2 linked regions of the Yarrowia lipolytica genome follow. The protein of the gene in region 1 interacts with the protein of each later gene in a biochemical or structural test. Links are inferred from orthologs where the notes say so. Each region holds a gene or a part of one and is shown in the gene's direction. Other genes may lie near its edges.

What was found.
Region 2: of the proteins of YALI1_F01346g (region 1) and YALI1_B04248g, one has a biochemical effect on the other in vitro, tested with the Saccharomyces cerevisiae proteins (6 studies listed by BioGRID, with this or other methods). The link is inferred for Yarrowia lipolytica from reciprocal best matches to the Saccharomyces cerevisiae genes MSG5 and SLT2.

Annotation. Positions count from the first base shown.
Region 1 is NC_090775.1:130,687-138,770, reverse strand, and holds YALI1_F01346g (uncharacterized protein), read left to right. Parts: upstream 1-4,116; coding exon 4,117-5,448; downstream 5,449-8,084. Other genes in the region: YALI1_F01369g (uncharacterized protein), read left to right, coding at 1,775-2,293; YALI1_F01324g (uncharacterized protein), read left to right, coding at 6,176-6,267, 6,315-6,516; YALI1_F01291g (uncharacterized protein), read right to left, coding at 7,755-8,084. UniProt on the Saccharomyces cerevisiae protein: Dual specificity phosphatase that dephosphorylates MAP kinase FUS3 on both a Tyr and a Ser or Thr. Has a role in adaptation to pheromone.
Region 2 is NC_090771.1:420,676-427,188, forward strand, and holds YALI1_B04248g (uncharacterized protein), read left to right. Parts: upstream 1-4,162; coding exon 4,163-5,680; downstream 5,681-6,513. Other genes in the region: YALI1_B04212g (uncharacterized protein), read left to right, coding at 611-1,909; YALI1_B04228g (uncharacterized protein), read left to right, coding at 2,125-2,349, 2,577-3,491. UniProt on the Saccharomyces cerevisiae protein: Serine/threonine protein kinase involved in a signal transduction pathway that plays a role in yeast cell morphogenesis and cell growth.

The DNA of each region.
Region 1 (8,084 bases):
AAGCTATGAGGATCCCACTGATATCTCCGAACACATGCCATATTGAAGTTAAGAGGTACATTCGATCGTATTTATTTGCTTTTTGATCTGGTTCCTGAACTACTGTAACATGACTGTCTAGGCTCGAGAGCACTTCTTGTACATGTAGTGTTCGAAGCAGAGAAGGGTGGTGCTATTGATTCCAGGGTAGTTTTTGGTTGTTTGTGCCACTATGTGATAGCTGTTTTGGTATACTTGTACAGTAGCTACTTGGTTTAGATGAGTAAGCGTACGTAGTTATTGAACAGTATAGTGTTCTTAGTAGCTAACACCCATATATAGATATATTGACCCAATTGGATCATGATAAATGAGTTGTCTGTACAGTACTTGTACAAACCGGTATTATGAATAATGGCGGACCTTGTCGTATCTTTTTCTATTTGGATTGATAGGAGCAACATTCAAGCGTCTTGTTCTTGGGCGTTGGCTGTGTTTGGACACATACCAACATCCCCCTTTTTTCCGCCATTATTTGTCTATGTTAATAAATCACTAGAGAAAAAAGACGATGGGGAATCCAACGGTAGTATTTAATCACAGGAGGGCTAGTGAATGAGACTAGTTGATGGGTTCTTAGAGGGGGTTTAAGGTGGTGAATCAGTCGTAACGTTCCTGCGTTACAATAAATGGTACAGTAGCGTGTCTGATGGTGAGTCTAGAGTTCCGAGTACATGACCGAATGAAACGGGAGTTGCGGCTAACAGATATTCACAGAATCCTTGAATGATTAATTGACTTATTTTCCTCATGTCATGTTTTCCTCATGTCAAGTTTTCCTCATGTGGGTATGTTTTCCTCATGTTATATCCTCTGGATGTCCAGTAGGGGCTTTGCTGTTTGACTGAATGGATGGATACTGGGGCAGTAGTCCTGTTACAACTACAGTACTGGTTGCAAATACTCATCTACTGTTGACATGAGTAGTACATACTGTGACACCCAGTACAGACTACAAGTACTTATAGCATGTTATTTCGGGCTCCCCTAAGATGTCGGTTCTTGTCGTTCAGCAACTGAGACACCAACGGTAGATAATCGAATGACCCCGCTGATTACTACTTGTAGTGGGAATGGGCAAGCTGGTGACGCTCCTTTTTACCGCTCTCAAAGGCTCAACACACTCTCGTACTCGTATCTACACATACCAGTACATTGTTCGATTGACATCCAAAGATGAAACATTGACCCCACCATACAAGATTGTCCATTTCTCACAAGTTTTCGGCTCCATCTCTCACACCCACAGTTTACATCTGTGGCTTCTCTTCAAACAAGCTACCTGTACTTGTAGATGATTAGGTTGGCTTGGCTCTCCATTTGAATCCGTCGCTAGCTCGAAAGCAACTCGTATTCGCTTCTCTTTCCGTTCGCTTAGCTTTGCTTCCCCCAGCCTCTCGCGAAGTCGACAAGACGCCGCCTATAGCTACATTTGTAGGTATGTCCTTGAGCTGACACTGTGTGACTACGGGATCAGCTGATGGGTAAGAGTTATGGACACTATCCGCGCTCTACAGTAGTGGCGCTAGGAACTTCAACTAAGGCGGCTCTCCGCGCTACTGCTCTTTGTGATGCTTTAAAACGCCCGTTAGTGTGGCTAGACGTGATTTGTGGGCGTAAGGGTGAGCCCACTGGTGGATAAATGTAGCGTGGACTCCAGATACATACCAGTCTTGATTTTCTTCGCCATTCTCTCCGCCACTCGTGTCTCATTGAATGCAGGTCGTCCACGGAAATGCACCCATGTCGTATCCAAGGTCTCAGAGGACGTGACCATACTCATTCGATGCTGTTCCACATGTCTTTGGTAGCAAGCAAGTGCCGTGTCTCACAAGCGTGCACTTGTACACTTGCTCGACGCACTGATACGACCACAGAGGCTACTAATCGAGCTACAAGTAGAGACAAGTATCGTACATGTCTGGGTGGAGTTGAAGTACAATTCAGCTGTACTCGTACTGTAGGAAGGAACCAAAGGCAGCCAACTATCGACACAGCCCCAGAACATTGGCTTCTGTACGTTCATATCTTGTGCCTTGCTCTGTACCTGCACCAGCACCAGGAACGGATCGAATATGGTAATGCAGCCATACATGATGGACGGTTCGATAGAGAGATTCACTTTGGGGTCGCTCTCTTTTGCCTTTGGTGGGCTCGACAAAGAGGTGGCTGCAAGATGAGATATGGACAGATGAGATGTCCTTGTGAGACTGTAGATCGTGGTGCAGTAGGTGGGAGGGGGGTTCACTTTTGAGTATGTTTGAGAGGAGGTAGTCTGTTTGAAAGCCGTTTGGTCAATCAATTGAGCGATTCTGGGTCGATTTCAGCTTTCCTCTTGTCTCTGCGACCTTTACTTGTCCGTTATACCTGTCTCCTCTCGTCTCGCGTCCATTTCCCATTTAGACCGTGTTCATCGCGACCCAGACCCAGACTACCCTTAACGCATGGTGCCGATCACGCACACCCTTTTCCACACATGGTTTCAGTTTGGAATGATGGTCGACGTGTCCATATCGAGCTTCCTGAGCTCTTCTTCCAGCCTCCTCATGTCAGGGGTACGTGTCATGTGACCGCGTCGGATCCGTTTATAACAATTTTCTGTATGTACTGTAGATGCTAGATGCTCGGTAGACACTTGTGGTTGTCACACTTCCTGTAGAGTCCCATTGGCCCTCCACAAAGGCAGGCAGCCAAATTATGCTGGGGATATTATTTGAAAATGAAGACAAAACAATGCCAATATTACGAGCTAGCGTTTTCTAGTGAAACGTCTTGTGAGAAGACTCTGACAACTGACACACAACTGCTGGAGCCCCCGGAATCTACTCGGATACGTCTACCTTTGGTCGCAGTACAGTTTTATGATTGTAGGGTTATTTTGGCTTGATTTACTCCTTGATTGAGAGACTGGGGAACAGAGCCCCTACGGGCAATACCAAGGAAAAACGGTGCTCGCGCCGGAGTGTGGTACATTCCGAGGCCTTTGCAAGTGGATACCCTGGACAATGTCTGCACGTTGAGCTGGTTCTCGCTGCTGCTCCCACGTTCATACGTCATCCCATACCTCCGTTGAGAGTGGTCCTGAAACCAACAACGAAAAGCGTGCAGGCCTGCCAAATCTAAAACCGCAGGTTTCACTTGGGTGCACTGGTGTCGGTTAGTTTTAGTGCGTGAAAAGATGCATTTAATTTTTGCACGTCTCACGTTGAAACACGGGTGCAAAACAAGGGTGCTTCAGATGCGACTATCAGGAATGAATGTGAGTCGGCGGATGGCTGGAGGGCACGTGTGGCCGAAATCTGGGGGACTTGCAGCTGGTTTCGGACCGTCCTAGCTGGGTATGTACACGTTGTACTGTACGAATGTATGCCGACTCTGTTGATACTCCCCCTCCCGACGCTCCCACACAGTCTTGTGTTGTGCACCCTCCACAGTAACAAGACTATAATCAAGTACTGTAAATCAAGGATGTCAAAAAAAGGACAAAAAGGTCAAAAAGAGACAGTGACAAAGGCAAGGGGTAAAGAGTAAAGGGCGAAGGCAAGGTACGAGTGGAGGACTCTGCTGCCATGACGCCAAAGTGAAAACCGGAAAAATCAATGTTGGGCCCCAAAAAAAAATTACAAATGCCCTGCCCAATCTCGCGGCGCCGTCCTCACGCTCCAAGCTGGCGTTTGGCCATCCCACAATGGATATTTATAGCACCACAGCGCTCACATGGGAGCACAATAAACTCACATGAGCTACCTCCCACATGTGGGTGCGTACACAAAAATAGATCAGAGTGCCAGCCTCAGACGAAGGTTAAAAAACAAGGTGCACACTAACTTTGCCAAAAAGCCAGAATAGACTCCCTTGTACATACATGTATATTGAATATACATTGGCCTCACCACCACCGCACAACACAACACACACACACACCAAAGTGCGACGTACTCACGCCCGAGAACCAACTCATCTGGATACTCGCAACCCCCACGCGCACCCGGCACTCTCCCGCAGCTCTCACGACTCGAGTCCCGTAACGACAGGCCCAGAACCAACCCCAACTCTCCTCACCTCTCCCAGATACCCATGAACTGCTCGGTGGCCGACATGGCGGGTTCGCACGTGCCCTCCAACCACCACCACCCACAAGCACAACAGATACACGATCCCGACGCCATGGACTCGTTGCCGGCGCCGCCGCGCCACCTGCCGTTCCGACCGCCCAAGGGCAAAAACTCCAACACCAAAAACCTGTCGTTGATGGTACCTCAAGGTAGCAACCAGAGCCACAACAGCCACAGCAATAACAATGTCTCGCCGCCTCACACATCTATAGAGCCTTCGATAGCGGCGCCGCTGCCGTTTGTGCTGCCTGTCAGCTCGACGCCCGTGCGAGCGTCCGCCCCCTCGGTTGCTGCTGCTTCTCCTCTGGCAGCCTCCTTCTCGCTGGGACTGTCTCGCAAGGGTTCCGTCAAACGATCCCACGTCGACGCCGAGCCCGAGGACGCAGCCTACGACAGTGACTACCGCAGCGAACACAAAAACTACCACTCCAGAACCTCCCCAAAGAGACAGTCCCCCAGTCCGCAGGTACAACCAGCCGCTTCTGCCACTGTGTCTAGTGTGCCTCCCTTCAGTATGGAACCACCACCGTTTACGATGCAGAGACGAACATCGCAACTGAGTATCAGTATCCCGCTGGCCACGTGCTCCGGCTCAAACACTCTGCCTGCCCCCTTGGGCACCCCGACGTCCCAGTCGCACCATTCCGCCAACTCCGCGGCCTCTCAGCTGTCGCTGTCGGACTCGGAATCGGACCCCAACTCCGATAACACTACACACACTACACCGCCACCAAACTACGACGATGCGCTTCCACCCAGCAAACATCACCTGTTCGCAGAGGAGCTCATGACTCCCTCCGTGCACCATGAGAACGCATACCCAGATGGACCCTTGCTCATCTACCCCAGCAACGTTTACCTGTACTCGGAGCCTTCTGTGGAGCTCGCCCGTACGTTCGACGTGGTCATCAACGTGGCCAAGGAGATTGACAACCCGTTCTCCGAGGAGCAGTATGCTAATGATGGACAGACCAACCCCGAGTACGTCTACGTGCCCTGGGGACACAACTCCAAGTTCCTGCCTGACCTGCCGTATCTCACGCAGCTGATTGATGACAGAAGTGCTGCTGGCAAGCGTGTGCTGGTTCACTGTCAGTGTGGAGTCTCAAGAAGTGCGTCGCTGCTGATCGCTTACATTATGAAGAAGCAGCAGCTTGATCTGAATGCAGCCTATGACTGGGTCAAGTACCGGTCGCCGGAAATCGGACCGAACATGACGTTGATTTTTCAGTTGATGGACTGGCACAAGCATTTGCTGGGCGAAAAGGATGCGTTGGAGAGCGACGAAGATTAGGTGCCAGAGGCTTTTGTCAGTCTAGGCCGGCTACACGCTCAGTTTTATGCGAGCCAGAAGTCCTGCCTTGAATTAGGGCTCTACAGGGGACTTCACCATCGCGACACCCGGTCTACTGAGTCCTGGACCAAAAGCACTCGAGTCTGAGCATTGATGCAGACTATAGGGCTCAGAGGAGGATCATCTGAAATGAGGCCTCCATCTCAAGGCTCATATCTGGAGCTTGTGATCCACAAGATATTTCTCACCAGCTTCAAGGACACTAATCACTTTCCCTCTATGCAACACAGTGCGTTTGTTTGGGGCCTGGGCTCTCACGCGCAGGCTACTGAACCCGTACTTCTACTTTTTGTCACTGGATGACTTCGATGGACACTCAACCCACCATATATTTATTCTATTGCATCTTACTTGCAGATTTCATTTCAATACATCTTGATTTCTATCCGGGGTTGTAATAGAGTGAGGGCTAGCCGTGGCCATCTTGGGCTCCTTTCGGGACTCTCGGGACTTATTTAGGGGTCGTCATGACTTACTTAGGGGCCTCGAGGGTCTCTAGATCATTTGCTTATTTATTCTAATTTATTCTAACTAATTATAATAACTGATTAAGACCACCCTATTATGTACTGTACCGGTACTGTAATCACGAAACGTCTTTCAGACCGTTATATGTGACATTACATACTAGTGCTGATACTGTCACATCTGATACACACACTCTACTATGTTATACACGCTGGTCTGCTATTTATTTTGTACAATTAATTTTTTGTCCCTCTGCATGTCAATATTATGTCGAGTATATCCCATATTGCTGTAATGTAATTACAGTGACTGTCAACAAGTGTCAGTCTGAAGAATAGTATCAGTTATGGAATCGTTCACAAGTATAGTACAAGCTCCGTGCAAGTACTTGTACCGTGTAATCCAGGAACACCACGCCTGCTGCCAGACTCTGACATTTGTCCGGATGTTTCAACTGCACCCTTCACCTTGTGCATGGGACATCTTCTCATGACAGAAAGGGAACAGAGTTCGGTTGGTGCACAATTATTACGTCACTGAGACGGGTGGGCAAGACACGGTTGCCACCATGTATAACAGCTGTCTCTGGCCATCTCCATCTGACATGCCTCATGTATCTGGGATGGGCTCTGGCACCTCGGCGGAAGAAGCAAAAGCAAACCGATGTGACAGGCAAAGCCAGTGCTGTACAGTACATACTTGTAGGCGGCGGGACATATGTCATCAGCCATCACAGATGACCGGATACAAGTATGACTGTACCTTGACAACAGGTCTGGGCACTTGTACGAGTATGCATGCACCAAGTGCTCTATTAATAGTGTAGACTCTGTCTCCTCTCATACACACACAAATCCGGCCATCTGCACAACCCGTTGCATGCGTTTTTCCGAGTGGAGATGATAGAAGCGTGAGTAGCAAAGCCGTGGAGACCAACGGTGGCGTATATAGATTTTTGATTTTTGATTTTTTGAATTTTCACTTTTTCATCCGAAATATGACTCTCTAATGTCATCGGTCCCAAAAATCACGTGAACCTGAATATGAAAATCTGTAGCCGATTGGTAGATGATCATCATATGGTATGTAGTTCTGCCAGTAGATCTACAAGTACTTGTACGATACTCGCAACGCCCCATGACTCTTCGGAAACCGTGACCCGGGTCACCTCACCACTGTCTCTGTTTCAAAACAAAACGGCTGAAACAGAAACATGTAGCCGAGACGCTCCAAACACAGATAATTGATCCTTACTGTAGACTGCAATACGAGCTGGGTGCGTGCGCAACGGTGTGGGAACTCGACAAGATGAGGGGACAACTTAGTGCTGCACCTCTCTTGATGTGCGTTCGGCACGAGTTCATGTACTGTACGATGGGTACGAGAAGCGAGGAGTCTACAATGTCGGTTAATTGACTCTCTCAAGAGAGTACTGTACGATTCAAGTGCACTAGAGTAATCGTACCCTTGGGCATGTTAACAATAGGCACCCGTCCTGAACAGGTTCTGTACAGGTACGAGTTGGTACAAAGAGTAGCGTCTAGCGTCTAGCCCTGTTGTTCGGTATACACGGGTAACTTACATTCCTGAAGAACTATCTATAAGTAGCCTCCTACATACTCGCATCACCCACTTCAACCAGAGCCGTATTAAAACCGTTTACTTTCTCTTCTCAAAGTAAAGGCTACAGGGCTCTTGCAAGCGGCCTCTCACTACCGCGCGTCCGTTTATACTCATTAACTATTCATCTAATTCATGTCCACAGCCCGTCTCCTACCCTATGCGTGAGCCTTCTTGATTTCGGCAATGTCCTCCAGAGCCTTGGTGGAAAAGTAGCGCACGTCCACATCGCCGTCGGTGGAAAGCCGCTCCAGGTGGGGGATCACGGTCGATGTGCAAATCTCCTCAATCACCTCAGGCGAGCTGATCTTCTCCTCGTGCAGAGCCCGCACCAACTCTGTGTACGTCTTGGCCACATTGAAACGGATGTTGGGGATGGGGTCGTTGATGAGCTCGGCAATGAACGGCAGAATGGATGTCTTGATCATCGACTCGTCCACCACGGGGATGAGTGTGGTCACGGCACAGAGGGCCGTGAGTCGGTACAG
Region 2 (6,513 bases), on another chromosome or scaffold:
GACGGAGAGGAGTGGATAATGTAACATTTGATAGCTTTGGTGACTTCTTGATGAGACATTGAATGGGAATGTGTAAAAAAATGTGCTTCGATTCATACAGAAATCCTCCCAAAAGAAGCTTGCTGTGTTTTACTTAAGTAGCTGTTAACTGTATTATTGAAGTTGTAGTTCACATTAGTTAGGCAATGGAGGAGAAGCCCTCTCTCGGTTGATGTGGGCCAATAGTGACAATTTTTCAGCAAGTTATTCTCACATCCATTTGATTGTACCAGAAACAAAATTGACTACATATTTGTTTGATAAATTCACATTCGAGAGACCAAAAGTTGTGGAGGTAGACCGAACCTAGATTCAGCAGGCCCCCAACTGGTCATTGGAGGCCCCCTTCTTCATCAATTGAAGAAAAAATCAGGGAAACGAGCTACATTATTGCAATTGTCTACTCTCAGGCAGTCTATTTCGGTCTGCTCACTTTCCATCCACCTACCACTATCATCCCACCATCTTCCGCACCGACACTGCCAAAGTTTCACTGTGCATAACCATACAGGCTTATCATCACACTTGGACATACAACTCATCTCTTCATACAGCTTCGTGTTCAACAAGAATGACTTTCAGTGAACCTCAGAAACGCATTTCTTCGGCCGCCGATGTCGACTCCTTCAAGCGATCTCAGCCTTACGCCACCATCATCTCGTTACTGGACAAGTACTCGTCTACAGTTCAAGAGCATCTTCTGCCCCCCAATGAAGACGAGCTAGCGGCCAGTTCCAAGGCTCTCGTCACTTTGTGTCGCAAACTCAGTGCTCTTATTGACGAAACGCCACCGCTGGAGGGCCCTCGGCGATTTGGAAACGTCGCTGTTAGAGACTGGCATGACAAGATGGAGGCCCAAACTACAGCTCTACTGACAGAGGCGTTCCCTAGCATCAACAAGGACTCGATTATCGAGCTACAATACTACCTCCACGGGGGAATGGGCTCGAAACAGCGTCTGGATTTTGGAACAGGCCATGAGCTCTCATTCATGGCATTTGTGGGGGGCCTTCAGAAACTGGGTCTCCTGGAAACAGATCTGCCTGCTCCAGACGTGCTCTTCATCTTTGAGACATACTTTGTGCTTGTCAGAAAACTTATCATGACATACTCTCTGGAACCTGCTGGATCTCACGGAGTTTGGGGTTTGGATGACCACTCCCATCTCCCTTACATTCTTGGATCGGCTCAGAAGGTGTCACGATCAGTAACTGCATCTACCCTTCTGGTTCCCACAAAGTACGATAAAGAGTGTCCCCCTTCGAGTGTCATGAATCCTCGAATCGTCCAGCAGCAAAAGACTACCAACCTGTACTTTGCAGCTATTGCCTTCATTTACGATATCAAGTCTGGCCCCTTCTATGAGCACTCCCCCATCCTCTACGATATTTCTGGAATTGCCACCTGGGCTAAGATCCACTCAGGAATGATCAAAATGTACATTGCAGAAGTTCTGGGAAAGTTCCCTGTTGTCCAGCACTTTTACTTTGGTTCAGAGCTATATCCCTGGAAGGATACTGAAGGTAACGACCTGCCCTACTCCAAGGTGGAGGACGAAGAGCCCGTCAAGCCCAAGCTTCCCCTTGGATTCAAGTCCAAGAAGGAACCGCAGACTACTCCTCATGCTCGTTTGCCACTTATGGGCCCAAGAGGTATGCCAATGGAGACTGTGGAGCGTCTAGCTCGTCGAGACGGTCAGCGTGCAGCGAGAGAGAAGGAGGAGAGAGAGGACAGGGCTAGTGGGGGTGCTTCTGGCACTACTGGAGCTCCTGGTGCAACTGCATTGCCTCCCACCAGAGCTCCGGGCTCAAGTGTTCCTGGAGGAGATGCACCAGGCATGGCCCCCACGAAAGCTCCTTGGGCTAAATAGGAAGATGAAATGCATCAATAGTGTCCATGTCGTCACTACAGTAGTTACAGTATTGTAATTATACTGTACTTGTACTATAGTGTATGTCATACAGTGCCCCACCTTAACAGACAGGTGACTCGTATGGAAGTCTAAAAATCCACCTTATCTTTACTGTATATATAAGTGACAGTCCCTTCTTTGGTTTGAGCTGTTTGTACAAGTACACCCAACTTATGACGCGCATGTTATTTCTTCTTCCAGTACTGCTGCTACTTCAGCTAGCACAGGCCCGCAACATGATCTTGCAGCTCAAAAACGAGACGCATCTCTCCGACTTCTTCACCCTGAATCCGCACTTTCTGGCTCATTTCGACAAGTACCACAGTTTCGGCAACTTCCAGGCTCTTGCCGGGGACATCCCCAGTTCTCTGGTCTACGCCCTTGCCAAGAACTTGATGGTGAGTGATACCTTTTGATACCCCTTCGGATGTGGTGTTGTGTAACACAGACTATGTGATGTGATACTTGAGATTACTAGAGATTGAGCAGATGTGATATCGAGATGTCTATCAACGTGTATACTCTAAGGCTGATGCAGCAGTTTGTAACATACAAACTATCACTGCTACGTACGAGTATAACCAAGTTGTCCCCTCTATCAATAACCTGTCAGTCACTAACACAGATCAAAGATTGGACCTTCGACATCGATGTCAAGATTTACGACGTTCAGGCCAACGCTCCTCGCCACCTTGCCCGAACATCCAACCTCGAGCCCATCAGCGCCTTCGGTCCCCAGGACTTTGTCCACGACCCTTCCGACGGAAGCGGCGTCGACATCTACATTCTAGATACTGGAGTGCGTCATCAGCACATTGAATTTGAGAACCGAGGCAAACCAGGTCGAGACTTCACCGGCGAGGGCATGGGTGATCAAAACGGCCATGGCACCCATGTTGCCGGCCTAGCTGCGTCTAAGACCTACGGTATAGCGAAAAAGGCCAACATCATTGATGTCAAGGTCACTGGAGAGGACGGTATGGGAGCCCTCTCATCTGTACTCGCCGGTTTGGAGTGGGCCGCGGCTGAGATCCATCGGAACGGCCGTCCCGCGGTTATCAACATGAGTTTGGGAGCACCTAAGAACTCGGTGTTCAACGCTGCGGTCGAGGCTGCGATCGACTCTGGCATTCCTGTGGTGGTGGCTGCAGGCAACACCAACACCCCTGCGTGTCTGGACTCGCCTGCTAGTGCTAACGGGGTTCTGACCGTCGGGGCGTTTGACGACAGGACGGACACGATTGCCAGCTTCTCCAACTGGGGCCAGTGTGTGGACATTTTTGCGCCCGGCGTAGAGGTGATTTCGCTGTCGAACCAGAACAATCGGGGCACAGTGGCTCAGTCTGGCTCGTCCATGTCGGCTCCACTTGCCGCAGGGTTAGTGGCATATTACCTTGGCATGGGAGACGAGCCCCACAAGGCCATGACACGAATACGAGACTGGGCCAACATGAACCGGCTGAGTCGTCGGGGCATGATGTTCAAGCCGTTTACGCCCAACAAGATTCTGTTCAATTTGGCCGGAGAGCCACTATGGTGACATCTAGTGGTAAAAATATCTGACTTACTTCCGTATTATTAGTCAGGTATTTAAGGTTGATGACGACGCAGCAAGTTGCAGTGGAAGTCTATGTGTATTACCGAGGGGGGCGAGGAGGAACGGTGAGTGGGAGGTGGGAGGGTGAGCGAAATTGTGCTATTGGGAGGTATAATAAATGGAGGTGACATGAGCAAGCAGGCCGACGAAGAGAGGGCGGGGTGGGTAGCTAACGGTGTGGGCACGCGACAGGATTCACCATAGACGAGTAGCTGTAGATGATAGGCTGTATCGATTTCCAGAGGGGCGAGAAAAAGAAAATGGCCGATTAGCTAGCATCAACTTTTTCTACTTTCTAGTTTATTCTCCGCAATGACGTACAGTTCGAAATTCAGTTTGGTTTGGCTTGGTGTGATAATTCACTCTATCCAAGTCTGACTTTATCATCCACCTCACCTGAAAATAGACGAGTCGACCAGACCAGTGTTACTTCCAGGAACGATCAATCGACCGCGAGCATTTTTACGGACTACTTCGGGATTATTGACGGCCTTGACACGCGACTTTTGCACGAGACCTTTTTTTGCACACACGAACTTTGACCTTTTGGACCTCTCTCTCAACAGACTAGACACATCCGCACCCACTCATTCGCTACACGTTACGACACCACCATGATACGAGCGGACCGACACACGTACAAGGTGTTCAACCAGGAATTCACCATAGACAAGCGGTTCCAGGTGACCAAAGAGCTGGGCCATGGCGCGTACGGCATTGTGTGTGCAGCCAAGTACACTGGGACGCCTGATGGGCCTGGAGTTGCTATCAAGAAGGTGACCAACATTTTCTCGAAAAACATTCTGTGTAAGCGGGCGTTGCGGGAGCTCAAGCTACTGAACCACTTCCGGGGGCACAAGAACATCACCTGTCTGTACGATATGGACATTGTGGACACCAACAATTTCAACGAGCTGTATCTGTACGAAGAGCTCATGGAGTGCGATATGCATCAGATCATCCGGTCCGGCCAGCCTCTGACTGACGCCCATTACCAGTCGTTTGTTTACCAGATTCTCGCCGGTGTCAAGTACATTCATTCCGCCGATGTTCTCCATCGGGATCTTAAACCCGGCAATTTGCTGGTTAACGCCGACTGTGAGCTCAAGATTTGCGATTTCGGACTTGCGCGTGGATTCTCTTCCGACGACGAAAAGAATGCCGGTTTCCTGACAGAATACGTCGCCACCCGGTGGTACAGAGCCCCGGAGATCATGCTCTCTTTCCAGTCTTACACAAAGGCCATTGACATCTGGTCCGTGGGCTGCATTCTGGCCGAGCTTCTGGGAGGAAAGCCGCTGTTCAAGGGCAAGAACTACGTCGACCAGCTCAATCAAATTCTGCACTACCTCGGAACGCCCTCGGAGGAGACTCTCAAGCGAATCGGCAGTCCCAGAGCCCAGGAGTACGTTCGGGGTCTTCCCTTCATGCCCAAGATTCCCTTTTCCACGCTATTCCCCACCGCCAACCCCGAGGCTCTGGATCTGCTGGAGAAAATGCTTGCCTTCGATCCTGCGGAGCGAGTGACGGTTGAGGAGGCTCTTGAGCACCCCTACCTGAAGATCTGGCACGATCCCCGAGATGAGCCTGTGTGTCCCACTCCGTTCGACTTCTCGTTCGAGGAGGTCAATGACATGGAGGCAATGAAGCAGATGATTCTGGACGAGGTTGTGGACTTCCGGGCCATGGTTCGAAAGCCTGTCGATGAGCAGACACGAATCAGAGACGAGCAGATCGAGGAGCAGCGGAGAGAGGAGGAGAAGCAGGAGGTGGAGAGACAACAGAAGGAGGCTGAACGTCAGAAGCAACACCAGCAGGAAGCTGAGAGACAGCAACACCAGCAGCAGCAACATCACCCTCAACAGCAGGACTCTCCATCCACCCTGTCGGGCTTCTCGGACTCGGACCAGTCTGCTAACCCCCACTTTTACGAGTACGCCGGCTTTGGAGTCGGCTCACAGACCTCGGACATGGGCCAGCCACCCGTCATTCAGCGAAAGGACTCTCTGGGTATCCCCGAGGAGGACTTCAAGTACCAGGACCCGCCACCAAAGCCCCAGGAGTCCGGACGCCAGGGAGATGGCGACCTGGAGCTCGAGCTGGAGTACGGCTTGGATGGATGGAGAAGTTGATTTTGGTGAAAAGACGTTTGGATATTTTAATGGTAGGGGCAGGCAGGATATGATACTTATAGAGTGTAATATAATGGCATGATGAGACGACATGGGGGAGGTAGATTGGAAGATGGGATGCCTTGTTTCTCGCACAGACGGTCTTTATGTGTTAATATTAAACAGCTACGAGTGCTGATGAGAGAGTACGAAATGCGGTGTTCGAAAGGGGTCACTGATCTATTGCACTGCTGGAGAGCGGATATCGCAGAGGTTAAGAAGACATACTGTGTTGACCAAGGAGAGGCTCCAAGAGGGGGCTGGTTGTGGCCGTCCCTTTACAAGTACTGTATGTACAGTACATCATGTATATTAATAATAGTGGTGGTACCCGGTCAGCACAATAGTGACCTACATACTCTGGTGTCAGTTCAATCTTCTGCTTCCTCTTTCAGTGACTGTTTTCTCGGTATATATTGTACTTGTACTTCAAGGCCGTGTGGACCTGTTCTACAGTAAGTGCGAATACTCCATGTCTATCAAGCCGTCTTTTTTGTTTTTTCTGTCTTTTTTCACCACCATGCTGAATCTCATACAAAGTACGTTAATTATACACAGTACGATCTGAGATGGAGCTGAAGCCATGAGATTTGATCAAAGAAAATGTTTGAACTGTTAGAAGCAGATCGAGCGATTTGATTCCGTCATTAATCTTCTGTTTCTCAGTATTCACGTCCATCCATTCGTTAATGATTCCATCATCTTCATCTCTCGCGCACATCCACCCCCGCTGTTGCCACATCTGTCAGTCTACCTGCATGAAGCACGCGATGAAAAGGCGCTACGTATGTACT